4 linked regions of the Lytechinus pictus genome follow. The protein of the gene in region 1 binds, or shares a complex with, the protein of each later gene. Links are inferred from orthologs where the notes say so. Each region holds a gene or a part of one and is shown in the gene's direction. Other genes may lie near its edges. The genes, in order: transmembrane protein 17-like, transmembrane protein 107-like, meckelin-like and tectonic-like complex member MKS1.

Evidence for each region.
Region 2: transmembrane protein 17-like (region 1) and transmembrane protein 107-like share a complex: the UniProt entries of both Homo sapiens proteins name them as parts of the tectonic-like complex. The link is inferred for Lytechinus pictus from reciprocal best matches to the Homo sapiens genes TMEM17 and TMEM107.
Region 3: transmembrane protein 17-like (region 1) and meckelin-like share a complex: the UniProt entries of both Homo sapiens proteins name them as parts of the tectonic-like complex. The link is inferred for Lytechinus pictus from reciprocal best matches to the Homo sapiens genes TMEM17 and TMEM67.
Region 4: transmembrane protein 17-like (region 1) and tectonic-like complex member MKS1 share a complex: the UniProt entries of both Homo sapiens proteins name them as parts of the tectonic-like complex. The link is inferred for Lytechinus pictus from reciprocal best matches to the Homo sapiens genes TMEM17 and MKS1.

What each region holds. Positions count from the first base shown.
Region 1 is NC_087246.1:15,643,863-15,651,601, forward strand, and holds the start of transmembrane protein 17-like, read left to right. Parts: upstream 1-4,727; 5' UTR 4,728-4,824; coding exon 4,825-4,924; intron 4,925-7,739. Other genes in the region: 2-Hydroxyacid oxidase 1-like, read left to right, coding at 679-748, 1,456-1,514. UniProt on the Homo sapiens protein: Transmembrane component of the tectonic-like complex, a complex localized at the transition zone of primary cilia and acting as a barrier that prevents diffusion of transmembrane proteins between the cilia and plasma membranes.
Region 2 is NC_087258.1:18,218,338-18,226,218, forward strand, and holds the start of transmembrane protein 107-like, read left to right. Parts: upstream 1-4,866; 5' UTR 4,867-5,054; exon of another isoform or gene 5,055-5,202; intron 5,203-6,490; exon of another isoform or gene 6,491-6,493; 5' UTR 6,494-6,518; coding exon 6,519-6,602; intron 6,603-7,121; coding exon 7,122-7,189; intron 7,190-7,881. UniProt on the Homo sapiens protein: Plays a role in cilia formation and embryonic patterning. Requires for normal Sonic hedgehog (Shh) signaling in the neural tube and acts in combination with GLI2 and GLI3 to pattern ventral and intermediate neuronal cell types.
Region 3 is NC_087246.1:22,606,247-22,614,043, reverse strand, and holds the start of meckelin-like, read left to right. Parts: upstream 1-4,797; 5' UTR 4,798-4,807; coding exon 4,808-4,997; intron 4,998-7,797. Other genes in the region: peptide deformylase, mitochondrial-like, read left to right, coding at 794-954. UniProt on the Homo sapiens protein: Required for ciliary structure and function. Part of the tectonic-like complex which is required for tissue-specific ciliogenesis and may regulate ciliary membrane composition.
Region 4 is NC_087246.1:13,141,931-13,148,858, forward strand, and holds the start of tectonic-like complex member MKS1, read left to right. Parts: upstream 1-3,926; 5' UTR 3,927-4,011; intron 4,012-6,928. UniProt on the Homo sapiens protein: Component of the tectonic-like complex, a complex localized at the transition zone of primary cilia and acting as a barrier that prevents diffusion of transmembrane proteins between the cilia and plasma membranes.

The sequences.
Region 1 (7,739 bases):
TACGAATCAAATCTCTCGAATCATTCATACCATACGTGTTGCTAGATGTAGCCACTTATACTTGGACTCGCTAGGTACTGTATTCTATTCCGACGATAAGTACTTTATTCCAGTGGCGGATCCGGGTGTGCCCCCCCCCCCCATTGGCAGGGCCCTGGGAACGATTATTTTAGTGGGGGTTGTTAAGGGTGCTGATGTGAATTTGAAAAGCAAAAAAAAAAAAATCACTACTAAATGGAAGTCAAATTGGTCCCGAGACCCCCGCTTCGCGGCACCCCCGCTTCCCAGGGCCATGGCCCATTGAGAGCCATAATCAACATTTTTAAAGTAAATGTTCTTACACAAGTGTGCCCCCCCCCCCTTTGAAAGGTATATCTTTAATGGAAATACGCCGTTCATACGGACCGAAGTGAAGACATTTATTTTTATATATTTTTTTATTATTATGTTGCTCTTCAATTTTTTCTCGGGAAAATGTGCCCCCCTTTTGGATAATCCTGGATCCGCCCCTGCTTTATACCTTAAACTGAGATATACAGAGGAACATCTGATTAAAGTTACTACACATGTAGAAGTCATGAAATACTGCTCTAATTTCATGTTAAATCTATAACATAATTATTACGACTTGGTATAATTCCATTCATATAATTTTGCAATTCGTTACTTTATACGCAGGGTGCAGATGGAGTCAATAAGGTATTATCGATCTTACGGTTTGAATTGGACTCTGCTCTGGGCATTTCAGGTCAGTTTTACATTTCGCATTGTTAAGTCATTTAGTATGATGCAGGTTCATGGGGGTATTGTTTTTATATATTTATTCATTAATTTGTGTCATTAAAGAATATATACAATTATATTTTTGTATATAAAAATATACAAAAATGTTTCAGGAAAAAAGGTAAAAGGAAAACAGATTTGGTTGGAAGGCCCACCACTCTATTATCTTCCATGAGGTCCAAATGGAAATCGATCCAAGTGAATCGGTATGTGTGTGTGTGTGTGTGTAGTGTGTGTATGTGTGGAGGTGATGAGAATTTTTGCACACACTGAGAACAGTGGGCGCAGCCCCCTTACCCCCCCCCCAAAAAAAAAAAAAAAAAAAAAAGTGCAGTATTGATACGATTTCAGAGTAGGTCTAGTATGCATGCCATTCCGAAATCACAGAGTTGCAGCTCGGCTGGTCAGCCTACACTCCGGGCCTACACTGTAAAAGCTGTACGATGTATAAGAGGTACAAGATTTTCAAATACGAAGTTTGAGCTAAAAACAGTTTTTTAAATGACAACCGGTAATTACAGTATCATAGTGGGTGTCAAACTAACACCATATTAACCATTGATGTAAAATGCTTAGTGAGGTCCTCAAGTTGTGTGGGTTTAAAACCAAAGCTTGTGCGGTACTAATCAGATGTCTGTGTTTCACATATTGTATTTATTTTATATTTCACAGGTTGCACCAATGTCCAAGACATTCCGTCATCATTGATAGCTCGAAAATCTTACCTCTGAACACTGGCGTACCTAGGATTTTCCAGAAGGGGAGGGGCAAATTTTCTGGAGGATATTTTGTCTGCGAAAAAATTTGACAAGCAAAAAAAAAAGGTCTTCAACCAAAAATAAAGGATTTCTTACCAGAAAAAAAATTTGACAAGCAAAAAAAAAAAAAAAGTCTTCAACCACAACCTGTATCAGTTGTGACTCGTCAGGGGGGCAGGGATACGTCCCCTGCATGAGTTGTGACTCGTCAGGGGGCAGTCTCCCCCTGCCCCCCCCCCCCTTAGGTACGCTAGTGCCTCTGAATGTCTGCCGAACTCGGCCTTCCACGGCTTAAGATCCCGACCACCATCAAGAATATCCTGGAAGAATGAATGATACAAAGCCCTTTAATTACCCATCCGCAGAATCGGAATCATTTAGTCAAGATTATTTGCAATATATATCCTTACTCCTCACACAATATAGGCACATTCTCAGGCAAATACACCCACATTCCAACATCATCGTCTCGCCAACACTCACCCACACAAAAACGCACACACTCATATACACACCGCACACACACACACACACACAAATTATTTAAATTTGTATTTTATTCATTTAATCACGGTTAAAAAGCCTGCTTCCAGCTAAAAGCTGCTTTTTCAACAAGGCCGTGAACAACTGAATGCAAATAAAACAAAAATGAAATTGACTTTACAAAATTGATCAAAGAAAAAAAATAATGCAAAAATAATATTAACAATAGAAAAATTGAAGTAAACAAAATTGAAAAGTTAAAGAAACGAAATAGTATACAAATTAATGTCAAATTCAAAATGAATAAAAGCGAAAATGACGGTAACTTAATACAGTTTGTCGGTCTATGTTTCTGAGAAGATATTCTCTTTATTTAAGTGTGATTCGGCTAAGTAAGTGGGCCTAGATTATTGACTGTGGTAAAAATTGACTGATTGATTGATCAACCTTTAAAATGTGATATACAGCCGTGACGATTATACAGGCTGAAAGGAAACGCTCAAACACACACCTCCACCTATCGTTTGAAGTCGAGTAAAAAGTCAATAAAAAGTAGAGTGCACTCTGACACTACAGTGTCCGCCATCGCGCCGCTTCATTTGGCAAAGGAATAAGAATATACCCTTAGATTTGGATTATTTTTTAATGATACTGATATATATATATATATATATATATATATATATATATATATATATATATATATATATATATATATGTATATATATAAAGGTAAATATATAAATGTAAAGGTAGACGGAAAAGCAATGAATTTTTTGAATGACTGTTTTCTGTTAATAATATTATACCCCTTCATGTGATGTAACAAGTTTGATCATACTGTACATATATATATGTTTGCATATATATATATATATATATATATATATATATATATATATATATATATGTTTGTATATATATATATATATATAGTTATAGTTATAGTTTTATATATATATATAGTTATACATATATATAGTTATATACACATATATATATACATTTATATATATATATATATAAATGTTTATATGATAATGCATCATTTATATAACTGCATTGTATTGTATATGTGTTTAATAGAAATTGGTTTGTAAGAGTGAATCAAAATTATTTGGCCTGCAATCCTGTACACTTTTAATCAATATGTAGGCCTATGCTCTATTTATCAATTTTTTAATGTTGGCTAATCTGAGTACTGAAGTGCTTTTATAGTTCTAATCTGCAAATTGTTTCTAATGACTTTTTACGGTCCTAAATACCGGAATTCTCTCAGCAATGACATTATAAATGCCGCTAGTTTGAATTGTTTTAAATGAAGCTAAAAAAAGAAAAAGCGATCGGTAGCCAGCTTTGTCTTCCTTCCTCCCCTCTTTTTTTTCTCTCTCTTTCTCTCTCCCTTTTTCTCCCTTTCCCCTCTTCCTCTTTTACCGACAACCTAAGCACCACCCTATCCTTTCGGTTTCTTTTCTTTCTTTCATTCTCCTTCCATCAACTCCATATTCCATTTACCAATCATCACATCAACTTTATTTATTCCCACCCCTCCTTCTCGTATGATACTCGTACTGATCTTTTATCCAATTCTTTAAGGGATCCACATTTAACAAGCCCTGCTTTTCAGTTGATACCTCCAATTCCTCAACTTTTATTCTATTAAAAAGTTATATTAAAATAGCCTTGCAGATGTTAAATCGAGATTGTTCTACATTTCGTTTTACCATCATGGTATATATCATATTATGATTATTGTTTATGGCTTACCGAAAACATTTATCTATTTCCCTTGTATTGATATATTGCTTATACATAGTATTCCCTTGTATTGATTTGTATGGATATTATTTCATATTTGTGTAATTTGTTGAGTCGAAATGAAATAAAGGAAACTTGAAGAAAAAGGTATTTGAATACTTCAAAATTATAAGTACTCTTTCCTTCTTGAAATAAATAGGTGAAAACAACATTACTTGCCAAATAGAGCAGAATTTCAGTCTTTTAAAAAACGAATTGCCTCTATTAATGTACATAACGTAATACGGTCCTATATTTTTTTTAAACATATTTTTAATCTGTTGCTGCGCTACAATAATCAATTTTTGCGATTTCTGATATATCTTTTTTTGTGATGAATTCTGTAAACATGCATAAAAACGGTCAGTTTTGAAAATCCAACAAGCGTCTCAATGTGAATCATTTATACACAGTAGGCCTAAGTGGCGTCGGTATACGAGTGGGGTGTGTGACACATTTTTTTTCTAAAATGCTGCCAACAAAGAAAAAAGAAAAAGAGTTGATGAAATGGAGAAAGGTGGCAGAATCGAAGTAACAGATGAAAATATAGAGGAAAAGAAAAAAAATGAAAATAAAAGGCGAAAGACGAAAAAATAGAAGAGATAAAATGAATTATTTTCGTTGCAGCTTTTCTCTCAGTATCTTATAGGATATAGGCCTACTTTCAAAAGTTTAAATTATTGACTTTTCTGTGGTCCTCATTCCTGCCTTAATATTCTCTAAACTGGTCTATTTTTCCTGTATTTTTTCGATATTAATTTAAATAGAAGTTGCCAGCGCTAGCATTTAGCTAAAGATAACGATTAAATTAACTGATTGTATATATAGGCCAAATAAAAATAAGTAAAAATGGAGAAACCGAAACAATTTGCGATTCGGTATTTATTCAATTAAGAGACACCTTACGCTTTAAAAACGAAACAAAATACCAACAACAACGAAAAGGTGTCCGGTCGGGTTAGCGTCGCGAATTCGAAGAAAAATTAAAATTCCCATAATAAACATGGCTGGTGATTATATGAGGCAGAAATTGACGTCGTTTACAGAAGCTGTATTTCCAACTCGAAATGCTGTAAAGCGCCAGCATCATATGCTAAAACCTGGTGAGCACAAGAAATAATTTTTAGAGCGAATTCGTTTATGTAGCCCCATACATTCGATTTGCTGTAGGTCTAGTGATAGATCTGCGGACGGTTTATTAATTTATCAATATCATGAACAATGATCAGTTCGTCTGTATGTAACGAACCTCGCATCACATTTTACTTTTAGTGTATATCAATAATCTAGGCTATATATCTGTCTTGTCTATGCTAACATAAGGTTTGGTCCCCCCAGTCTGTGCATACGTGTATCTGCGCAATTTTTTTAGGGGGATCCAGGGGGCCCGGGCCCCCCCCCCTATTGGCGGAGCAAAAAAAGGGGGAAAGAAAGAAAAAAAAGGGAAGAGAGGAGAATAAAGAAGGGGAAACATAAGAGGAGGAAGACGAGTAAATAAAATAAGATGAGGTGAAGACTTGAAAAATAATTTTTAAAAATATTTCATGTTTTCCTATTATAGGCCTAAATTTTTTGCTGGCGCTTCGTGCTCGTGCTCGCATTGTTTTTTAGGTGATTGACATATCTTGCTTAATATGGAGCTTAAAATATCAAATTTTGAAGTCAATATACAAATCACATTTCAGCTTGGAAAATGAACTTTCATTGTTTTTATTTGATTTACAAATTGATTTTTATAAAGTGCTCTGTAAAAATGTATGTTTTATGGTCTGAATATTAAAATTTTCTGCTCGCGTTGCGTGCTTGCAAATTCGTCAGGTGTACCTATTATTTTCCTGTATTCCATAAAGTTCTCAAACTATCCCTATTCAGGTCAGATAGCCATAACGTATCAGCTAGCGCTGCACGCTCACATTTTGATTGGTGAGTTATGTATTTCTCAATATTAATTCTATAACATATAATTCCCATTTCATGACAGTTTATCAAAAATTTTGGCTCGTGATTTGCGCTCGCATTGATTGTTGAAATATATTAACTCATGCATCTTATTCATAATTACAAAAGTGCATTAAATGTCCAGTTTTCAGGCCATAATATCAACAGATTTCTCACTCTCATTAGGCTTATTAGATTAATGAATAAGATATTGATTGAGTAATCAAATTGTCCCTTTTTTTCAGAATGGAATATCGACAAGTTTCATCTTGTGCTTAGGAAAAGAAATAGGAAGATAGTGATCATTTTCATATGACATAATGTCCTTAGAATGTCCTATATCAAAACTCAAAGTGATAATAATGAAACTTATCAGCTCTTTTTTAACTGTGATCCATATCCACCTCACAATTTTCCTATAAAGTGCTTGAAATACAGAGCTTAAATTGACTCTTTTTCAGATTGGAATATCGCCTTATTGATTTTCATGACAAAAAAGGGTATTTAGAATGCCCAGATTTTAGGCCAAAATCTTCTTCTCTATTTGAATCATTATCCAGTTTCAGATCACAATATCAAAAATTTTCTGCTCGCGCTTTACGCTCGCATTATAGGAAGATTTCCAATTACTCATCCTTTTCATAATTTAAAAAACTTGAATAGAGTGTCCCATTTTTAGGTGTAAATCTCGAATTTTTCCGCTCGTGCTTCAAGCTCGCATCAATTATTTAATTATATACTTATCCTTTTCACGATTACAAAAAGTGTGCTTAGAATTTCCATTCTTCAGGTAGAAATGTCAAAATTTCCAGCTCACGCTTATTTTCAGCTCACATTATTTAATTGTTGAAATATGTAACATCTTCATGGGTAACTGCAAGCAGCTGTTATTAAAAACATGATATTTTATCAGATCAAAAAGGATATTAAAAAATTCTGCTCGCGCTTTGTGCTCGCAGTAATTTAGTTAGATACACATCTCATTTAGGATCACAAACATTGCCCAGAATGTATAAATTTTAGTACAAAATACATAATTTTGAGCAGCCGATCGGGGAAAATGTGGCTGAAAAAAAATCTGCCCCCCCCCATTGGCAAAGGCTGGATCCGCCCCTGATCCAGGAGACACTGTCACTGTCATGAACTAACACTCTAGTCTCTACTCTAACGTTCGACAGAAGTCCGACTCAAGTCAAATTTCAGTTTCAAATCTACTAAAATTTCGCCCAGTCATGTTGTAGGTTCATGGTGCATGCACATGCTACGAGATCATCCTCATAATCATACATCAAATGCGCTAGGCCCTGTACCATTACCGAGCTAGCATCTGTGTAATTTGAATGCGGAATGTCTATCACAGAATTGTGATAACTGATAACCTCTTGTGCTTAGTAGAGTTTCTGTAGATCTACAAGACTACATCAAAAGTTGTTTTGCTGAACTAGGTTCTACATATGTTCATTTGCTCTTGGATGGTAGAAAAAATGTCTGAAATATTAAAATAATTTTTAAGAGTAAGAAAAGTGATTATTCCTGTATTAAGACTGAAAGAATAGCATACGGCGATAACTGTAATTCTGTGTGCTTCTGGAGAGTAAAAATAATTTGCTAATCTTTGTGACATGCAGTGGCGAATCTACAGGGTATGGGGGGTTAAATGCCCCCCCCCCCATAGGCAGGCTGCAAATAAAAAAAAAGGAATGACCTACTTTTTAAGCCAACTACTTTTTTGTGCTTTTCAAATTTTTTGGGATCAAAATGACTTTCATTTTGTAGTAAGTTGTAGTGAAACCCTTTTTGGGGGGCTTGTATTCTTGTCAAGTTTCTCAGTAAAACCATCCTTGGAAAAAGATAGATCTGCCCCTGTACATGTTTATGGACACATAAATAAATGAAATGAAATTGTGGGCATGCTTAGAGATAGATTTAAAAAGTAATTTATAATTTTTGCCCTAAATATCGATAATTTCTGTGTTTCTT
Region 2 (7,881 bases), on another chromosome or scaffold:
GTGATAATAATGAACACATCAAAATACAGAACCTGAAGAAAATGATAACAATTCAGTGAATCGGAAAAAAAACAAAAATACATATAAAGAACTAGAAAAAATATAATAAATAAGAATATAGCCCTGTCTCCCTTGGCTTTCACAAGCACCTTTCTCCCTCCCTCCGTCCCTCCATACCCTGGAGAAATAGAGAAACAATACAGATCAACGAAGCAAAGATGCAAGCAAGGAAAAAGCCGTCAGACTTTGTTTTCAATATACACGCTTTCTACGAAATGCAATAGAAACCGGGAAAGAAACCCGTGCATTCACGGTGTACAGACTCCGTACCCGCCCATGCCCATTACCGTGCATCGGCACTTGATTGAGACTCGCGCAGAGGCGAGAGCTAGAGATATGAATATTCATGAGCAGGTATTGATGTAATTTGGTCTCAAGGTGGCGCTCTTCATTTTTTATGTTAGTTTTAAAAATAAATAAAAAAAAGCTCACTCGGCAAATCTTCTCATCTTTATATATTTTTTTGAGAATAAAAACAGTTCTTTCTAGCCAATGCAATACATTGTATGGACTCAGAACTTGTTTATGAATATCGTGGAAAGCAAAGAGTGAAATTTAAAAGAAAGTTTTGAAATAAACCAATGACACAATTTACCTTTAAGTACAATATTTTTTTTTCTCACCTGTGATTCATGGTTCCATACATGTACGTTACCATTGTACAAACTGACAAGCATCCATGGCTCAGATGGATGAAGGTCAACGCACTTTACACGGTCAGACCGTGCTGAAAGCTTTCGCTGAAGGGGAAATATATACAGATATAATTATCATATACTGCTTTTATATACATGTCGTACTTATCACATTGTAACAAAGTCAGGAACGAACGAACAAACAGATTAGGAGTAGATAAAGGACTTTACGAAGTAGAAACAGAGATCTTTTTTGAGATATTGTTTCAAAACATGCAGTTATGTAATTGGTTTGCAGAGGGGTGTCAAAGACTTCATGTAATTTTCTTAAAGTTTACTGAAGTATGTGATCAATTTTCTTTGACTATGTCACACTCACATTTAACATGCATGGGGAAAAAAAAATTCCCCCAAAATAAGAAACCCAAATTGTACAAGAATAGCATTACTCATGATTGATAAGTCCAAATTTCATAAAATATTAATATTCTTTTAATTTAAAAAAATCCTCAAAAATCTTAAACCCTTGCTTGAAAAAATACATGATATTTTTATCACATAAAATATTCACATGTTTCACTAAAATTAGTAATTTATTACAGGTGCATAGTATACACTGATTTTGGCTTTCAATGATAAAGATATATTTTCAAAACATGCATTGTGTTACTGCAAAAAACAACAACAGAAAAAGGTGGAAATAGATTTCTTACCTTTATATCCAATCTAAGAGGCTGTCATGTGAATAAAAAAAAGGAATGAACATAATTATAAAATGTTTACAAATGCAAATTCCTGTAGGATACAGTGTACTAAAATGATAAGGCATGGGTCAAAATAAGAAGTTCTGATAAAAATTCTCATTTGAAAATAAGTGGTCTGTCTATCCCTGTTTGCAATCAAGAAAATGAATTTCTAATATCACAAAATGACCAAAGCCATTTGCACTTTGCAGCATCTAGTCAAAACTTAGAAATCTTTTGTGCAGCCTGGAACAATAACGAGCAAAAAACATTGCATCTCAAACATTATCTGAGGGTACACAAGATCAAGTGTAATTTAACACAGCAATCCATGGGTTAGAAAGCTTAGCGACTGATCATGGGGCTAATATCTAATTTTATGATTTATTCCATTGATTACTCGTAAAATCAGCCCCTTGATCAATCACTATCAAAGCTTTTTGTTACATACTGTACCGGGCCCTGAGCAGAGAAAGAGTCTTTTTGAAATTTTCATCAGAGATTAGTAAGAATAACACACAAGGTGGGAGTTCATAAAGCTGTTCGTAAGTTAAAGGTCAAGTCCACCCCACAAAAATGTTGATTTGAATAAATTGAGAAAAATCAAACTAGCATAATGCTGAAAATTTCATCAAAATCGGATGTCAAATAAGAAAGTTATGACATTTTAAAGTTTTGCTTACTTTTCACAAAACAGTGATATGCACAACTCAAATGGGACTGTCGATGATGTCCCTCACTCACTATTTCTTTTGTTTCTTATTGTTTGAATTATACAATATTTCATTATTTATAGATTTGACAATAAGGACCAACTTGACTAAATCATATAGTATTAAATAATGATAACTCCACATGTTCAGGGAGGAATTAATTGTTGTTTCACTTGACAATGAGAAGAAAGTTAGAATATTTCATACAATAAACTACAAAAGAAATAGTGAGTGGATGACGTCATCAGTCTCCTCATTTGCATACCGATCAGGATGTACATATGACTGTTTTGTGAAAATAAGCAAATTTTTAAAATGTCATAACTTTCTTATTTTACATCCGATTTTGATGAAATTTTCAGTGTTATGCTTGTTGTATTTTTTTCTCTTTTTATTCAAATCAACTTTTTGTTCAGGTGGAATAGTCCTCTAAGAGTGACTTTAAGAACGACTGGTGAAACTTTCTTACACTCTAAATAATCACCAATGAACATTTAATGGTCAATATCATTTACCACAAGAAAGGATCACCAGTCGTTCTTAAAGTCGCTCTTGACTGATGATCAGCTTTATGAAACGGCCCCCTGGGGGGCGTTTCACAAAGATTTAAGTATGACTTGAGTCGCACTTAAATGCCGACACGTACATGATATGCGATCTTATTGATAATAAATACGCAGTAGTGCGCGTCCTCATGACACGATATGGCCAATGCGGTCAAGTCTTTCATACCGTACGCAACTTGGTATTTAAGTGCGACTCTAAGTCATACTTAAAACTTTGTGAAACACCCCCCTGCTTGATAAAAATTTCAAAACCATCACAGAGCTTTATATAACTCGGGATCATGTTACTTGACAACAATGAAAGTAACCACTCTTGAAAGAAATAAGGATCTAAGTCTATGATATCTATCTCACACTAATCATCTGCAGTTCAAAGGACAGAACTAAACTGTTTTGTTACTTTGTCACAAGATTACTCAAAAAGTAAGAGTGAAATTAAATAGAGTAACACGCCCAAAATTCGACAAGTGCCGAGATTCGACATGGCAAACCTATTTCACAAGCCAGCACAGTCACAAAAACACACACCAAACACATTTTTATAAACATAGGCACTATCACTTGCCACCAAAAAGTCCTGATTTTAACAAAAAAAAATCCCCTTTAAAATGTCAAAAATTTCCCTTGAAATGCGGAATATTCACCATATATCCAGAGCATTTGGCGGCTTAGCTCAGATTTAAGAAGCGGGGTCGCCGAAAAATGTGTCAAAAATAAAGAAATCCTTGGTTCTGCTCCGAGTACGATAACTTTCTCGCAAATTTAGGATCGTATCTTCAAAATTTCCAATCAAAAAAGAAAAAGAAAGAAAAATTCAACGGCATTGAATTTGCACAGAATTCTTTGAAGTCAAGGCATGCTTGCAGGTCGCCTTCATTCGACAGGGGCCCCGATCGCAATGCGTGAGCGAATGACCGCTGCAACTTCTGGGTTGCACATCGCATGCGATGCGGCGCAATTCAGCGGCTCTCGCCTTGCATTTTTGAGCGCGCGATGCGCTATGTCGTACGAAGGGCAGGGGATGTCGAATCGAAACATGGCGATACATTTCAAGATTTTATGTATTATTCAGATGGAAATTGAAAATGAACATTGCAAATTTGCAATTAAAGATAGACAAATATATTTAACAAACATTGGTGCAAATATCATTTTGTGAAAAGAAATTTTAGAACAAAAAAAATTGCAGAAGAGCTTAACATGTCGAATCTTGGGCATAAAAGAAAATTGTGAATTCATGAAAATTGCCAACGGGCAACGTTACCAATTGCCAATGTTGAAACTGAACACCTTTTTGGCTTTCGTTAGGTCTAACTCTAACTTTACAATAAATAGTTACACTACTCTACAGTATGCAGTGTACTACAGGCTGCGTTTTTTTGTAAAATAATATTTATTCTGTTCTTGCTCAAGCCAACAATAATTCTTGCCCGGCACACTTTGCAAGAATTACTTAGGAGTTAGGGCATATCAAATTTCAATGAAACTTCATGAACTTTGCCTTAGTTTGGCACTAAATGACAAATGATTTTCTAGATCTAAAATTAATTCTAATCATTCCAAGTAATTTCTATTTCTAATAATGCAGTTTAAACTTTAATTTCACACCGGCCAAAACTTTCATAGAATATTAACAAATTTCATGTTTAATCTTCAGTCCAATTATAATGTCAATGACCTCTTCTTCTGCCTCAGCTCAGGCCTTCACAAATGATTGAAATGCACAAGCGGCTACCTGGCCCTACAATGTAGCTACGGCTACGTGCGTCTGCTTCAATGGGTACAGTGCCCGTCGTCTCCCCCAGCGGAACGGCCCATGCCATGGTAAGGATGAGGCTAGAAAAACTCCATAAGCATCGGCCATCTCCGCCGCGACGAAAAAAAAGACAAATCAACATCTTTTTACTCAATTATACTCCGTGTCCACACCCTCCATTCGTGAATAGTTTTACAAACACACAATTATCCACTTAAATAATGGAAAATTATTAAATAAAAGATAACAACTTACCATGGTATTTTCGATTTAAATTTATCAAACGTGGCACTTACACACAAGTTCCAACATCATCAATGGGAAACCGAAGCTCCGTGAACTTTGTCCGATCATTAACTTCCGGGAACGGTTTCTCAAACTCGTCCTAAATCTAGCTTCTGATATTATCGATAGAAACTCGCGTATGCAACCAACATAAGGTTGCGAACTTACACTTACAAATCTTTTGTGAAACAAATCCCTGCTCCTGTCGAAAAGTGTGAGCGTCCATGGTTTCACGATCCAGATTTGGATTCAAGCAGCTGAATAAAAGGGTCTAAATCCACTTGCAAACGCCCTAGGTAAGTATTTTAGATTTTTTTTTAGATTTGAGCCTTAATACAGTCATCACAGAAACATATCACTCGGGATAGAGACAGGGCCCCAGACTCAGAGGCTCAGCTTCCCAGCTTAGCCAGGGCAGGGTCAAGACGATTCGGAACGGGGAAGCTCCGCTGCTGTCACCGGCCAAACCGGCGGTGCGTGGACGAGCCTCTGGGTGATGGTCCTCTTATTATAAAGTCTTATTTGAATTTAACCCAGGGAGCTCCGGCCCGCACAGCGGGCCGGAGCCCAGGGGCTTACTGTGTATTTGACCATACTCACGGGACTAGCGTGATTTATGGTCTGAATAATAATATTTCTCCAAATGAATTGTGAAAACAGAAATTATGCACTTACCACGATTAATTTATATGGATGAAAGTCTAACGAGTGGCAGTTTCCTGACATCGAGGCACAGACTGGAACTTAAAAAAAACGAAAAGTTCTCTCCTTCTACCCCCGTCTCGATCGGCCATTTTTGTTATGAATCGTAACAAAATGGCCGATCGAGACTGGGGTAGAAGGAGAGAACTTTTCGTTTTTTTTGAAGTTCCAGTCTGTGCCGCGATGTCAGGAAACTGCCACTCGTTAGACCTTCATCCATATAATCGTGGTAAGTGCATAATTTCTGTTTTCACAATTCATTTGGAGAAATATTTAGACCATAAATCACGCTAGTCCCGTGAGTATGGTCAAATACACGGTAAGCCCCTGGGCTCCCGCCCGCACAGCGGGCGGGACTTCCCTGGGTTAATTTGAATTTGGCCCTGGCTGGCATTGCCAAGGCCAGGGCGTTTTGCAATTTCTTACTTTTAGCCATGGCTTGGCCTTGGCAAAACTATTTAATGTAATTTTTTACAATTTAATTTGATTTTGAGCCAAATTTCACCAGGCACAGCTTAAAATCACGTATTTGATTTGAGCTGAAAAAAGGCAAAAAAATTGAACGTTTGGAAATTTTTTCATGACATTGTGACGTCGTCTTGGTACTTGGTAGGATTCTTATTCCATAATTATTTATATTCCTTTTAATTTTGCTGTGTAACTGGTGTAGACGTGTAGTTCTCTGGTATCTGAAGATATTGTTTTTCTTGCTGTTGATTCTATCTTTGAAAATACTATTAGGGCTAAGTTAGATCTTTTACTTTCTAATTCTAACATTAGGATAATTTTATTGGGAGTTGATGGAAATAAATGAATAGATAATGAAATTAAATCTTTTACTTTAAGCTAAAGTTGTCTTTTTGGATTTTCTTTCTGCAGGCTCTCATTGTCATTTTCATACCATGCAAAGAATAAAATCAGCTCAGAATTTACTCTAGCAGTGAATATTCGTATATAAAGTATATAAAAACATTTTTGATGTTTTAAAATGTAATGTATGATTTCTTCTTTTATGTTCTTAATGATCCAGTAGAATTGGTGGATAGTCCTAAATCCTAATGGCTTTAACAAATCTGATCCCAGCCCGTTTCCTGTGCCTAATTGCTCATCTGGTTATCACTGTCACTCTCATATGGTCACGGGTAGGTAACAAAAATTCTTTTCCAGTTGAAACGAGATTAAGAACAACTGAGTAATTGTTCGCTTATTAATTGTTAACATTTTGTTGTTACTGATTACAGTGTTATTGGTAAAATGTAGCAGAAGTAAAGAACTAGAAGTGGTGTGGTGGTTGTGGTGGAGGAGGACTACAACGACTTTAACTTTGTGAAAGTACATGACGATATTGCAAAAATGAATTGATAGATTTCCCATATTGGATTGAAATTTTTAAGGAAATGTACAGGAAATAGAGTTTGAAATATACACATCACCTCATTGGTCAGGTTATACATGTGCATTACTTTGTTCATTTATGTGGAAAAAATGACTTAATCATACTTACATATACCTCTTTGTGAAAACCCCTCTGAAGAGTTTCCTATTATTTAAAGCAAGACAATCCATTTTCGTAAAAAAAACTTTGCTAAAAATGTCACAAGATATGAATGTTATCAATATTAAACAATTATATTATTTTCCTTTTTCAATTTTTTTTGTAGGATGCTAATGTACGAGCCTGCCTACCTGAAACCTACACAGATACAGAGTACAATTCAGTAGATGTGGCGTGAGTATTTTCATTTCCCTGTGTATATCTTATTAGTTGATCTTATTTTGCAGCCTCCCCCCCCCCTCCCCCGACACAGTCTTTTATCCTCTGATAATGCTCGTCTTGGTAAATAAAACAGATGAATGAATTATGAATATATTATGGCAGGTGATGAAAACAGCTTCATTTATTTCAGATTGGTAGTCATCAGATGAAAATAGATATTTTTATGTTGATACATTAAGCAGAGATGAAATTTCTATGTTGTGAACATAAATGAGCAGTTCCTTTTACTTATTGTGAGTAGAAAGAGTGAGTAAGTGTCTGTCACATCCTTCTACTCCTTTTCTCTCCCCTCCCCTCTCCTTCCTCATCCTTCTCTTCCTCTTCTTCCTCCTCCTCCTCTTCCTCCTCCTCCCCTGTTCATATTCTTCCTCCTCTTCTTCTTCCTCCTCCTCCCCCTGTTCCTATTCTTCATTCTCCCTCCTCCTCCTCCCCCTGTTCCTATTCTTCCTCCTCTTCTTCCTCCCCCTGTTCCTATTCTTCATCCTCTTCTTTCTCCTCCTCCTCTTCTTCCTCCTCCACCTCCTCCTCCTCCTCCCCCCTGTTCTTATTCTTCATCCTCTTCTTTCTCCTCCTCCTCCCCCTGTTCCTCCTCTTCCTCCTCCTCCTCCCCTTCCTCCTTTCCTGTTCATATTCTTCCTCCTCCT
Region 3 (7,797 bases), about 7.0 Mb from region 1:
AATTGAGCATAAGTCTCTGACTATCACATTCAAATGTCTCAATGATCAAGCTCCATTATACCTGTCAGACCTCCTAACAGTTCACCAATCAATGTACAACACTCGGTCATCATCACATATCCCTCTTCACATCCCCCGAACAAATCAGTAGGTGATAGGTCTTTTTCTGTGTTTGCCCCCAAATATTGGAATAGATTACCCCATAAACTTAGACAATGTTCTTCTATTGATGTGTTTAAGAAGATGCTTAAATCTCATTTGTTTTAACATGTTCAATATATTGCAAGTAATAATAAGAAGTAATTATTATTATTATTATGTATGTTTGTAATTCTATGATCCTGAATAAGCATCTATCACACACAGTTTCAATTTGTTAAATAATAGGAATATATCTTTGCTTTGGTTTGTTTTCATTTGGTCCAATGCCAATGATCTAGTTGCCAATTCCTCCCCTCACCATTTCGTCTAATGATCCATTGGTCCAATAGCTATTTAGTCCATATACCATTTGGTCTAATTAGACTAAGTATTAATTGGGCAAAATTAATGAAATTAAAACAAATATTAGACCAACGGGTTATGAGACGGAATGGTCATAGACGAACTGGTGATTAGATAAATTGATGATTAGACCAAATGGTTGTTAGACGAAATATTGATGGGCGGAATGGCATTTGACTAAATGAAGGTAGACCATTTGGTGAGTGCATGAGTTGATGAATTGGCAATTTACCCTTTGTTTGTATGGATAATACTACTAGTAATAGTTTCCTTTCATTTTGAAATGCAGGTCTAAATGAGAAAGCAGAGCCAGTTACTTGGCGTGTCAGTGGGTACCCAGCAAGGATCATACAGCATGAATATGATCATCTTCAGGGAACTTTATACATTGATCGCATGGACACCCGGACATTTGCTGATCTACAATGGCCTAAATGGAATGAGAAGTGAATTCAGAAATGATCAGTCAGTCAACCTCTGAAGTAGTATATGAGCTTTTGCGCTCGATCTGCCAGTCGATTGTCGGGTATCTGCTTTTGAAAGAAACCCCCAGCCTGCCGAAACTTACATACCTGTTCAGTACAAGAGTCCTTCACCGAATGTGATTCAAAGAATTGACCCGTAGCTGTTGGAGACTGAGCACACATATATATGCATGCTTGAGATTTATAAAAATTTCAAAGATTTCATTTCAGTCAGTCTCTTATTGGTTAAATTGATTGTGTATTTTGAATTGATACAAACTTCCTTTCTTGCATTGACATTAATTACCCAATTACATCACTTTATTTCCAATTTGTCGAATGCCACTTCTTCCAATTGCCAACTCGTCTACTACCATTTGGTCTACCATTTCGTCCACTGACCACATGGTGTACTTTCATTTAGTCCAATGCCATTCCGTCGAATAACGAGTTGGTCCAATAGCCATTTTGTCCATATACCATTTGGTCTTTATTAAACTAAAATGTTAATTGTGCAAAGTGAATGAAAAGAAAATGGGTATTAGACCAACTGGTTATTAGACGAAATGGTAATAGACGAACTGGTGATTAGACTAAGTGATGATTGGACCAAATGGTTATTGGACCAAATGGTTGTTAGACGAAATGTTGATGGACGGAATGGCATTAGACTAAATGAAGGCAGACCATGTGGTAAGTGGATGAGTTGGCAGTGGACGAATTGGCAATTTACCATTACATCTAACTGTTGGTTGCAGTGTACCGGTACATATTCTTGCTTCATTTGCCATCCTCCTTTCGATGGGCTATTTGGCTATTTTTATAATCATGTCCAATAACTTATTGAATTCCTCATTTGAACTTTGCATATTCTGCATTTGTGGTGGAAATACACATAGTTCATGAGTCATATGAATTGATATGGAAAAAAGAAGCTCCTTCGCCTGTTCAGAAGATTTTCTACTATCTACATTTAACTGTGGTAGTTTTAGAATAAAGTGACCTAGTTATTTTATTTTTCTTACAGAAAATATGTTTAGTGTGAGATATTCTCTATACTGAATAAAAACATTTCTGAATGTATTATCATGAATTGTGAACTATGAAAGAGTGCAAATAATGTTTTATGCAAATTATCTCTGAAACTCAAGTACTAATGGATTTTTCTTGCCCCAAATTTTCCCCTTAAGTATAAACCAATCATAATCATGAATATGGAGGATTTTATTCTGTAACAATGAAGTGTAATTTCATCTAAAGATAAATAAATCATCAACAAAATTGACATTCTTTGGTTCAATTGATCTTAATTTTTAAAAATGCCTTGGCAAGTTACATGTGTAGTATGCACGGGCAGAGCAACATGTTGTTGTTCTGCTAAACTTTGTATATCTTGTAATGCTTCTTTCAAGTACGTCTTTAATACGCACTGCCGTAGTAAGTTATTTGACTTGTTGCATAACCCTCTGAATAATTGCACATGTACACAATCCTTTTTAAACCATCCAATTCATCCCTTTAAAGGGGTACTCCGGGCTGAAAATATATCGAAATAAATAGAGTAAAATTCACAGAGCAAAATGTTGAAAAATTCATCAAAATCGGATAACAAATAACAAAGTTATTGAATTTTAAAGTTTAGCAATATTTTGTAAAAAAAAGTTACATACATCATCATGAATATTCATTAGGTGGGCTGATGATGTCACATCCCCACTTTCCTTTTGTTATTACATGAAATCATAATTGTTTCATTTTTCACACATGTGTGAACAATGTGTCTCCTTTATAATGAAATAAGTTGCAGCAATAAATTTCATTAAATCAGTTGTCAATCCAATTTTTTAAGTTCTTGGTAGAAAAAATTTGAAAAACCTAATTTCATATAATAAAATAAAAAAAAAAACAAGTGGGGATAATGACATCATCAATTTGCTCATTGAATATTCATGAAGACATGCCTAGAACTGTTTCACTGGAATAATGCAAATCTTTAAATTGCCATAACTTTGTTATTCATTGTCCGATTTTAACCAAATTTTCAGTGTTTTGTTTGTCTGATTTTTCTTTACCTGTTTGAATCATATAAATTTCAGCCTGGAGCATCCCTTTAAAATGTAAAGTGGTAGTAAGTAAAGGCATGCTCAAGGCTTTTCCATTTGCAATTTTCCACAGGAAAATGTTCCTTATGTTTTTTTTATTGGTTGAAAATTTCAAAGACAATTTTTTTTGGTTTATAGTGGATATGTTGAAAAATATTCATATACAACAATGGTCCTAATTAATGGTCATTACCGTCTTTGTGATTGATTTGCAAACATTGTGGTAATGATGCCCTGATCTACTCCGATCAGACACTTCTCCAATTAACAACAATTGTCCCATTGAAAAAGTCAGACGAGAGGAAATACTTTACATCATTCTGATAGATATAATGACCCTTATTATATAATTTCCATTATCCTCTTTATTTCAGTGTCTTGTGTGATTTATGATAATGACACTGACATTATGTACTGTTGTCCAGTAAAGAAAGGTTGCTTGAAATACATTTCATTTTGCCTCATCAACTTTTGTTCATTTGTTCTGGCATTCCAGTTTTTTCATAATTAATGTAACTTAAAAAAAATATTATGAACAGTGGCGGACTGTGACCCAGAGGAGACAAAGCATTGGAGGGGCACAGTATTGTTCACAAAGAATACAGTGCCCCTCCAATCATTTGTCTCCTTGGGGTCACGGTCCGCCACTGATTATGAAGTAAAATACTAATTTGTTGCCAGATTTTACCACTGAATTTGAAAACATTGTGTGGTGATGATGCCTTCATCAGGCTTTACTCCGATTTGCAACAATTGTCCCATTGAAAAAGTCAGACGAGAGGAAATGCTTCACAAAATTTTGATAATTATAATGACTCTTGTTATATAATTTCCATTATTCTCTTGTTTAAGTGTATTGTGTGATTTATGATAATGACATTATGGCATTATGTACTGTTGTCCAGCAAAGAAAGATTGCTTGATTTTGCCTCATCAACTTTTGTTCATTTGTTCTGGCATACCAGTTTTTTCATAATTAATGTTATATAAAAAAAATATTATGAAATAAAATACTAATTGGTTGCCAAATTTTACCCCTGATTGAATGAAATGTATGAAATTATTCATTATTACGTAAAGCTCAACAATCATAATGTACATTTTTTTAAATAACATTGTTAACCTGTATCATGATATTTATCAAAGACAAGAATAATGATGATTGATGATGACGATAATGGCGGTAAGCTGGTGGTAAGGATGGTGAGGGTGATGATGAATATGATGATGATGATGGTAATGATGGTGTTGGTGATGATGATGATAATGATGATGGTAATTAAGGCTAATGATAATGAAACGTTAATCTATATTATGATATTGATATTGATAAAAGAGAAGAATAGTGATGTTTGATGATGATGATGGTGAGGCTAATTATAATAAAATGATCTAAATTATGATCGGATAAAAGAGAAGAATAGTGATGATGATTATGATGAAAATGAATGATGATGTCGATATCAAGGTGAGGAGAAAAAAAATGAGAAAAGGGGAAAAGAGGGAAGAAAGCACGAAGAAAAGTAACAAAAAGCGTAGCTTAGTAGTAAATTATGTTTTGCCCCCCCCCCCCCCAGCCCCACGATTCCAGCCCCACAATCCAGCCCCACAATCCAGCCCCCACAATCCAGCCCCACGATTCCAGGGCCAGACCGGCCTCGATTCCATAATGGGGTATGTCGGTCCAGTCATGCGGTCTCGCCGCCGCGCCTAGCCGGCCGGATCCTTGGAAACGTGATGCCAAAAATGTCGCCGATTAAAAGATTTGCGATATATTTTCTTCTCATTTTCTGGGTAATGGAGGTCAATTCAACCAATCCATTCCCTTACACGACCGTACAACAATGTATAGCTAATGGAGAATACTACAATATAGCAGAATTAAGATGTGATCCTTGTGGAGACAACCAAGAACCTACCGTTGATGGTAAGACTATTTGTTATACATTTGTGGACAGTCCGACATGTTCAATTAATTGCTGGTGTGATGCCTGATGGTGGTCCCCATTCCCCAAGACTTGGGCCAAGTCTGCGCACCTAATTTGAGTTAAGATTTAAGTTATGAACATGGATTTCTTTTTATTTCACAAAGTCTTTCAGTTAGTAATGTTCCTTATATTATTATGAGTAAGTGTAGGCCCTACCAAATATCTCATAAAAATTAAAGAAATATAGCCAGGAATTTGGATGAGTTGGAAAAACCACTCTAGGCGACACCCCAATACTTACCCGTGCTAATAAACTGGGACTCCACTCACGCGCGTTTGAGCCTCCCTAGCTTAGAACTAAGCACTAATATCACCTTAAAAACTAAATCTACAAGGTATGTATAATCTATTTACAACTTTAATAATGTTTAATCGGTACTCACCGGTTCTTTTGTTGCATTTTCAGACCATTTCTCACAATTCTTCGTAAATATTTGCGGCAAATTTTGTCGCCATAGACAGCTTAGCATCCATCTTTATTGATAAATGGAGCGCCCTTTACGATAGTTGTTAATGCCGCGGAGAAATCGTTAGGCATTTTGGCCTGTGTTCAAGGCGTTCTTTCTGTTTTATTTTTTATATTGAAGATTGTGCATTTGTTGAATAGCGCCGTCTACGTCAGGTATGAGATCGAGTGTATAAATACACTCTTCCAAAATAATTATGATTCCGACCTGGCGCTGTTTAACTTCAATCTCTTTCACCTAAATTAGCGATGAATGCTAGCATTATAAAATATATATTATTAACGTCTGACGAAAAGAATAACCAACCGATCAGCTGACGAGAACGCGAATCACGTGATCTTCATATCAGCTTCGATCGCGAGTCAGAAGAGAAGAGCAGCTGCCCAGAAAATCAGGAAAAAGCCGTGAAAATGTAAGTTCCCCTTCATTTCTTTCATTTTTTGTTGTTGCTAACGATGCATTTACACTATAAAATTATAATTTAAATAAGAGAAAGGAATATAGCTTGTACTTGTGATATAATATATAAATATCCTGTTCTCAGAGATTTCTAACCAAAAATACTACTGATGTCGCCTATGAGGTCCATACATGTAATGTTGGACCTCATTGGTACTAGGAGTGGGAAAAACCTCGGGCAGCTGGCAGTCATTCAGATTGATTATTGAAAAAAAATTGGCAGGGTCTACCCCATGTCTGCACACCCATTCACTTTGCACATGATTCAGGGATTTTTTATGAGAAAGGCTGCATTTTGAGAAATTTGAGGCTGTCCTGAAATTCATTATTTTTCCACCACAAGGGGGACTGCGCAGACAAGTTGGGGGACCTTATGTACGAATTACGATACGTTGTGTGACCCAATACGCTCTTGCGAGGTTAGCTAGATCTATACTAGACAGCTGGCAGCCGTCTGTTTCGAGGAGTTTTTTAACATTTTTGTTATTTTTTAAATTTCTCCTCATACACAGACGGCTCGCTATCGTGCAGCCACCATTAGGGGACTTACAATGCAAAATCCCCCCGTCGGGGCTCTTCAATTTTTGTCTTTAATGAATCAATTTTTTGAAAATTAACGCGACCGAAATGCAAATTAATATTCCCTCTTGGCATTGATTGCCAAAAACGGGGAAAATCAAGTTAAAAGGAACAAAAACAGTGACTTACCTCGGCTGTCGCGCAACTTCACTGCCCTGTTTTATCCGAACTTAATACACATAAACATATGGCCATTGAGTCCCCTGTATAGATCGCGCTAGAACTTCGGTCTCTGTATTTGGTGAGTGAAGCCAACGGAGTTCAGCTGAACAACCAACATAACAGAGACCGAAGCTTTTGGTCTAGATCTATACTAACTAACCTCGCACACCCAAACGCACCGTATGAATAGACAGCATAGTTGTAGCCTACATGTAGAGAGGGAGTTGAAGTAATTTTCATCCAATATTTGGAACTGTCTGATATTTGGGCCATTTAGTCTTTACTCTTTTTTTTTCAAACTAATTTTATCAATTTGTAGACTCATCAATTCATAGTTAAATCTACACAGTAATGGCCAGTTATTTTCTTCTTTTTAAATCTGAACTTAAATACCGATATGTAAGTGCAAAAAGTTTTGATATTCACTGCTTTTTATTTTGTCAGGGTTGCCAATTGAGCTTGCCTTTGCTTTGCCTTTTGATCAACTTTGGCTCATAGGTAGAACAGTGTGTACAGTTATGGTGCTTGTAATGCATTAGAGAATAGAATTCTAGTTTCTTTATCTTCTTTTTTGTCAACTTTTATCGGAGATCAGCATCAAAATGCTATATCATATTGTATCCATCCATCCAAATGAAGATGCCCAGAGGATGCAGAAAGGATACAGCCGACGTTAAATGGATGATAACGGACACGGAACTTTTGCTGCCAGTAAATGTTGCGGATTCGCATTGTACACGACGGAAAGTTCATTTGCTCGAAAAGTTTTGTGTAGCTCAAAATTTTTTGCTTGGATGAAATCTGGGTGGACGGATGCTCAATGGATAGAGCATATGAAACACCTATGCAATGAGTACACAGCGGATGCATAGCGTTTTCCAACGGATTGCAAGATTTTTTTACATCCTCTTTGCATATCTGTAAGTGCAGTGGGACACACTCATTCAATGAACAAGGTTATGATATAACCTTGTTCTCAGTTACATCTCCATGTGTGGCAAAATAAAGTTGGCAATGTTTGGCTTATTTTCTCTTTTCGTTGGGACAAATGCTTGATTTTTTTACACTGTCA
Region 4 (6,928 bases), about 2.5 Mb from region 1:
CCAGAGTATTTAGTAGTGGTGGTGGTGGCGGTGGTGGTGTAGTAGTACGTATAGTAGTAGTAGTAGTATAGTATAGTAGTATAGTAGTAGTAGTAGTAGTAGAAGTAGTATAGTAATATTAGTAGTAGTAGTAGTAGTAGTAGTAGTAGTAGTAGTATGTAGTAATAGAAGTAGTAGTAGTAGTGGTAGTAGTAGTATAGTAGTAGTAGTAGTAGTAGTAGTAGTAGTATAGTAGTAGTAGTAGTAGTAGTAGTAGTATAGTAATATTAGTAGTAGTAGTAGTAGTAGTAGTATGTAGTAGTAGAAGTAGTAGTAGTAGTGGTAGTAGTAGTATAGTAGTAGTAGTAGTAGTAGTAGAAGTAGTAGTAGTAGTAGTAGTAGTAGTATAGTAATAGTTGGTGTAGTAGTAGTATAGTAGTAGTAGTAGTAGTAGTAGTAGTAGCAGTGGCGTACCTGGGATTTTTCACAGGGGGGGCAAAACCGTCCGCCAAAAAATTTGACAAGCAAAAAAAAAAAAAAAAAAAAAAAAAAAAAAGGTCTTCAATCACAAATGAAGGATTTCGTACCAGAAAAAAATTTGACAAGCAAAAAAAAAAAAAAAAAAAAAAAAAAAAAAAAAAAGGCTTCAAGCTCGTCAGGGGGGGGCAATAAAGGTCTTCAAGCTCGTCAGGGGGGGGCAGGGATACGTGTTTTGCATGGGTTGTGGCTCGTCAGGGGGGGGGGCAGACTGTCCCCTTTGCCCCCCCCCCCGTAGGTACGCTAGTGAGTAGTAGTAGTAGTAGTAGTAGTAGTAGTAGTAGTAGTAGTAGTAGTAGTAGTAGTAGTAGTAGTAGTTATATCAATACGTATAGTAGTATATTGATGAGGGATGATCCTCTCTCCCATTTCACAAATCCGGGAACCTTCACGTATTGCGATAAATGTTTCAAACATAACGTAACGTAACATAGGCGGGGGAGGCAGGGGGGCAAGCTCCCCCCCCCCCTGGCGGATTAAACCGGGGGAAAACGGGGAAAAGGAGAAAAGGGAGAAAGGGAAAGGGAAAGAAAGAAAAAGGGGAAAAAGGAAAGAGAAAGAGAAAGGGAGAAAGGAAAGAGAAAGAGAAAGGGAAAAAGTGAAAAGAAAGGGACAGAAAGAAAGAACATAAATAGAGAAAATGGAAGGAAAGCGGGCAAAGGAATGAAAGAACACTTAAGAAAGTACAAATTATCTTTTGATATTAAGACATTAGCATGATAAGCAAGAGAGGGATATAAAATGAAAGACATGACTCAATGGTACAGGCAAGAATGGCGGGAAAATGAGAGAAAGAGGCAAAAAGAAACGGGAAATGAAGGTAGAGCCCAAAGCTAAATTGATAAATCAGAATATGAAGAAAGTACAGGGGCCGCGGAACCGGGGGGGGGGGGCTGGGGGGGCTTCAGCCGCCCCCCCCCCCACTTTTTTCCAAAACCGTGTACAAAAACGTAAAAATTACCATATGATTGTGATTTTTAGCATGGTCAGCCCCCCCCCCCCCACTTTGAAAACCGTTCCACGGCCCCTGAGAAAAGAGACAAGAAAACAAGAAGAAAAGAACCTAATAACACGACCGGGCTGCCGAGGATTAAAAAATATAAAGAACGGGAAGAAAGGTGGTTGGCGTATATATAAGCTTGCTAAATTTTATGTAATAATGGTCGCAATCAGGACAAAATAGTCCTTAGCCAAGAGTTAGTTATATCCCCTATGTCGATAGTAAAGTTTTACGCCTGCTAGATTTACCGTACAAACTAGCCTTTCAATGTTTACTTTGGCTAAATTTTCAAAGCTATTATCACATAATTAGAATTTAATTTCAATTTTTTTTAATAAAACGCCAAAATTTTCTTGCTCGCTTCGCTCACTGGCAACTTTTTATCAATTTTACCACATTTGCTATGTTGTGCTGCCTCAAAATATTTCGTGTATCCGCAACTGTTATGAAGTACGCACGAGGTTTGATAATAAAGTAGCCATCAATGTTTAAAAATATCGCGAGGTTCCAGGGGCTCCGCCCCGGACCAGTGACGACACCAAGAGGGAGGCACGGGGGCATTTGCCCCCAACGAGTTGGCCCCCACTTGCCCCCCCCCCGAAATTTTGAAGAATAAAAAAAAGATGTGTAGTTAATGTTGTCATAAGCATCCCAATAAATCTGCAAAGTGCTCCAAAACAGCTTGTCGTTCTTTAAATCTTGAAAATGTTCTCATTCACTGTTAGCTCCCAACAATAATATGTCAACATAAATCTTTCAGTCACTATATAAAATTCAAAATTTCGCCCCCCCCCCCCGGATCCAACCATGGGAGATCCTTTTCATGATTTACAAAACATGAATAGTGTCCCGTTTTTAGGTCTAAATCTATTTTTTTCGGCTCGCGCTTCGCAATTATCAATTATTTACTTATATACTTCCTCTTCATGATTACAAAAAGTGCCTAGAATGTCCAGGTTTCAATTCAATATTTATCTACATTCTCCATAAAAACATGAAAAAAAAAACATACAAAAGATTCATAAGTAAAACATCGTCACAACCTACAAAAAACATTTATGAGAATTGAGAGGCCAACAAAAGAGAGCAGATATAGCCTTTAGGTCCGAATGACAAATTTTTTCAGCTCGCATTATTTGATTGTTGAAATATATATAATCTTCATGGGTAACTACAAACAGTCGATCCTTAACAGGTCCCTTTTCGATCATGCCAGAACGTGAATTATAAAAATCTGATCGTGCTTCGCGCTCGCAGTACACGCATCTGGTTCAGTATCACAAACATTGCTCAGAAAGTTCAATTTTTGAAATTTTCCCCAAAATTAGCTCGCGCTTCGCGCTCGGCTCCCACTATTTAATTAGGGCTTATGAGATTATTATATATTTATGTTGTTTTAGAAACGAACAAATTCAAATTTGTGCGGCCGATTGGGGTAAATAAAATATGGGTGAAATTTTATGCTCCCCCATTATTATGAGAACGACAATTCGCTGTGCTTCGTGACAGCTTATTGACCTTCATGAAGAAATATATTTTAAAGGACAGGGGCACCCCAACAAAAAGTTGAGTTTGATAAAAATTAAGGAAATTCTAACAAGCTTATGCCATTTTAAAGTTTCTCTTAATTTCATAACACAGTTATATGCACATCCTGTTTGGTATGCAAATAAGGGGAACGATGACGTCACCCAATCACTTTCTTTTATTATTATTATTATTATATGAAATTATGAGATATTCTAATTTTCTCTTCATTGTCCTGTGAAATTTTATTCCCGTTTTATTCTGATTGTTTTAAAATTATATGGTTTAGTAAAATTGGTCCCATAATGACAAATCTGCATGAATAAAAAAGAAATAAAAAGAGATCAAATAGTGAGTGATGGACATCGTCGACTCTCCTTTGCATATCGTGAGTTGTGCATGTTTTGTGGCAAGTGAAACTTTCAATGTCACAACTTTTCTTATTTCATTTTCGATATCGATTTTGATGAAATTTTCAGCGTTATGCTTGTTTCATTTTTCTATATTGATTAAAATCAACATCTTTTTGGTGGACCTGTCCTTTAACATGGAAATATCAATGATATAAACAAAAATATAAAAATAAGAAAATAAACATGACGAACTTTGATACAAAATATCATGCTGGAAATTAAATCATTTTGTTGAAAGCAGAGAAGACAGAAAAATTAACTGTATATCTTTTGACAGCTGACAGTGTATCTTGAGATAATCACTGAATTGGAAATATACCCAGCTCAGTGGACAAAATCATGAAAGTGATAAAAAAAAAAAAAAAAAGAAGCTAGAGCTCACTATACGATCTTCTGCTATGCTGCCACCATGCGGGCAAACTATTTGCATTACCTAGCCTCGGATCGGTCGCCGGATCATATCCGGATCGGAGCATTTGTATTACGTCCATGCATAAATGCTGGTCGAAGAAACATTTCTGATTAACTTGAAAAGGTCGAACAGCTAGCACGCAGGTAACGTTTTGATTAGAACTAGGCCTTTGGGGAATTTGACATTGTTACGATCGGTTAATTGGTTACTTGGAAATAGATAATTCGAGAGAATGGTCGAAATTAAGATATAATGGGCAGATAAGTGGAATTGGAATTATAGCCGGATAGGTCAATAATGCGTTGTCCCATACGTTAGTTTCGATGTGTGGTAAATCGAAAGGGTAATGATTTTGGCGTCTGCCTGGCTTTGACCACTCAAGCCAAGGCCCAATGGTTTATTATATGCCGCTATGCACGGGAAAATCAAGGCACGACGCATGCAACTCTCTCTCTTAGTGTGAGCTGATCCCTCCACTTGTCTTTGCAGATTCCTGGCTTGACTTGGCCACTCACACAACATGCGAGGTTAGTATACTATACTATTAGCACTCTAGGCGACACCCCAATACTTACCCGTGCTAATAAAGTGGGACTCCGCTCACGCGCGTTTGGGCCTCCCTAGCTTAGAACTAAGCAATATTATCTAGAAATCGTTACATTGTAGTAATTAAATATGTTCTATTAAATAAATTGATAATGTTTAATCGGTACTCACCGGTTCTTTTGTTGCATTTTCAGACCATTTCTCACAATTCTTCGTAAATATTTGCGGCAAATTTTGTCGCCATAGACAGCTTAGCATCCATCTTTATTGATAAATGGAGCGCCCTTTACGATAGTTGTTAATGCCGCGGAGAAATCGTTAGGCATTTTGGCCTGTGTTCAAGGCGTTCTTTCTGTTTTATTTTTAAATAGATTGTGCATTTGTTGAATAGCGCCGTCTACGTCAGGTATGAGATCGAGTGTATAAATACACTCTTCCAAAATAATTATGATTCCGACCTGGCGCTGTTTAACTTCAATCTCTTTCACCTAAATTAGCGATGAATGCTAGCATTATAAAATATATATTATTAACGTCTGACGAAAAGAATAACCAACCGATCAGCTGACGAGAACGCGAATCACGTGATCTTCATATCAGCTTCGATCGCGAGTCAGAAGAGAAGAGCAGTTGCCCAGAAAATCAGGAAAAAGCCGTGAAAATGTAAGTTCCCCTTCATTTCTTTCAATTTTTTTATTGCTAACAATGTATTCAATTAGTGAGATCGAAATGTAATGATTAGACAGTACGATAGCTTGTAGTTTTGATAAAATACAAAAATAATCATCTTCACAAAGATTTCTGACACAAAATACTACTGATGTCGCCTATGAGGTCCATACATGTAATGTTGGACCTCATTGGTACTAGGAGTGACTATTAGTAGGGCCTATTACTAACCTCGCACAACACATGTGATTTCATAGTGCATTTTGACGTTTTCATTCATCACACGAATGTGAGGGACTAAACTACGCCAAGCCTTTCAATATTTGTCCACTATCATTATTATGTTAATCTTGATCGTATGATTTAAGTATATTTGAAAAAGGAATTATAAATTATTTATTAAGGTGTTTTTATCGCTTACCTCCAAATCTCAACCAGGATACTTCGTTCGGTCCGTCCTTGGTCATCCTCATACTGCGGTGGAAATTACGCAAACAACAATCGAAATGCGAAATTTTCCTATCGAACATTCTCGATTCAAGTCGTAGGGGAGGGAGAAAGGAAAGAAAAGAAGGGAAAGGAAAAAGCGAGAAAGGGAATGGAGGGGGCGGGAAAGGAAAGGAGAGACAATGAAAGACAGATCAGGGGAGGGGGAAAGGTAAAGGAGAGAGAGGGAAAAGGAGACCATAAAATAGAAAGAAAACAAAAGAAAGGAAGAGGGGAAGGGAGAGGGAAAGAAAAATGGAAAGAGCGAGAAAAGAGTAGGGGAGGGAGAAAGGAAAGAAAAGAAGAGAAAGGAAAAAGCGAGAAAGGGAATGGAGGGGGCGGGAAAGGGAAGGAGAGACAAGAAAAGACAGATCAGGGGAGGGGGAAAGGTAAAGGAGAGAGAGGGAAAAGGAGACCATAAAATAGAAAGAAAACAAAAGAAAGGAAGAGGGGAAGGGAGAGGGAAAGAAAAATGGAAAGAGCGAGAAAAGAGTAGGGGAGGGAGAAAGGAAATAAAAGAAGGGAAAGGAAAAGGGAAGGGAAAGGGAGAGAAGAAAAGAAGGGAGAACGAAAATGGGGAAAGGGAGAAGGAGAGGGGATGATGAAGGGGATAGGAAAATGTCAAGTTTGAAGATCTGAATATTAACACTAAAAAAAATTAGACTCCCATGTTTTATTTATAAAAATACCATCTTTTTCATGATTATAAAGGTTCAACGTCCCTGTTCTAGGTCTAAACTTCAACATAAATCTACTGGCGCTTCGCGCTTGAATTCTGGAGGTCATTCCTCTTTTAAAAGTATAGGTAATCTGTCGGACTTTTCAAATCCCAAATTTAAATCTTAAGCGCAAATGCCCTTGCATTATTTTTCATTTAGATACAGTCCTGTCATCAATATCAAAAACTCTAAGCGCGAGCTTCGCGCTGGCATCATTTTTGTAAGTGACATTTATGATGTTGTTCATATTTTTAAAATGTCCATTTGTTGAGGTTTAAATGTCCAAAAGTTCAGCGCTCGCATAATTTGTAAGGTAAATAGGCCTACCCTTTTAATTGTTATACAAAGGCGCTTATACAATGTCCAGAATGCAGTTCGGAATATTGAAAATAACTATTGGTCCCGCTATTTCTGCCCGTGCGACAAGCATTTATCATTTTGAATCATGAGATTCACCTTTAAAATATGATGAAAAAGTATCGTTAAGACTGAATTAAGAAAAAAAGAAGCTCACGTTTCACGCTCGCATTTTGATCCGTTAGCTTGTGATAATAATGGTGACTTCGTTAATATATCTTAGCGGACATGTCCACCTTTTGGTGCTTCAAGAAAAATAAACACAACACACAAATAATAATAG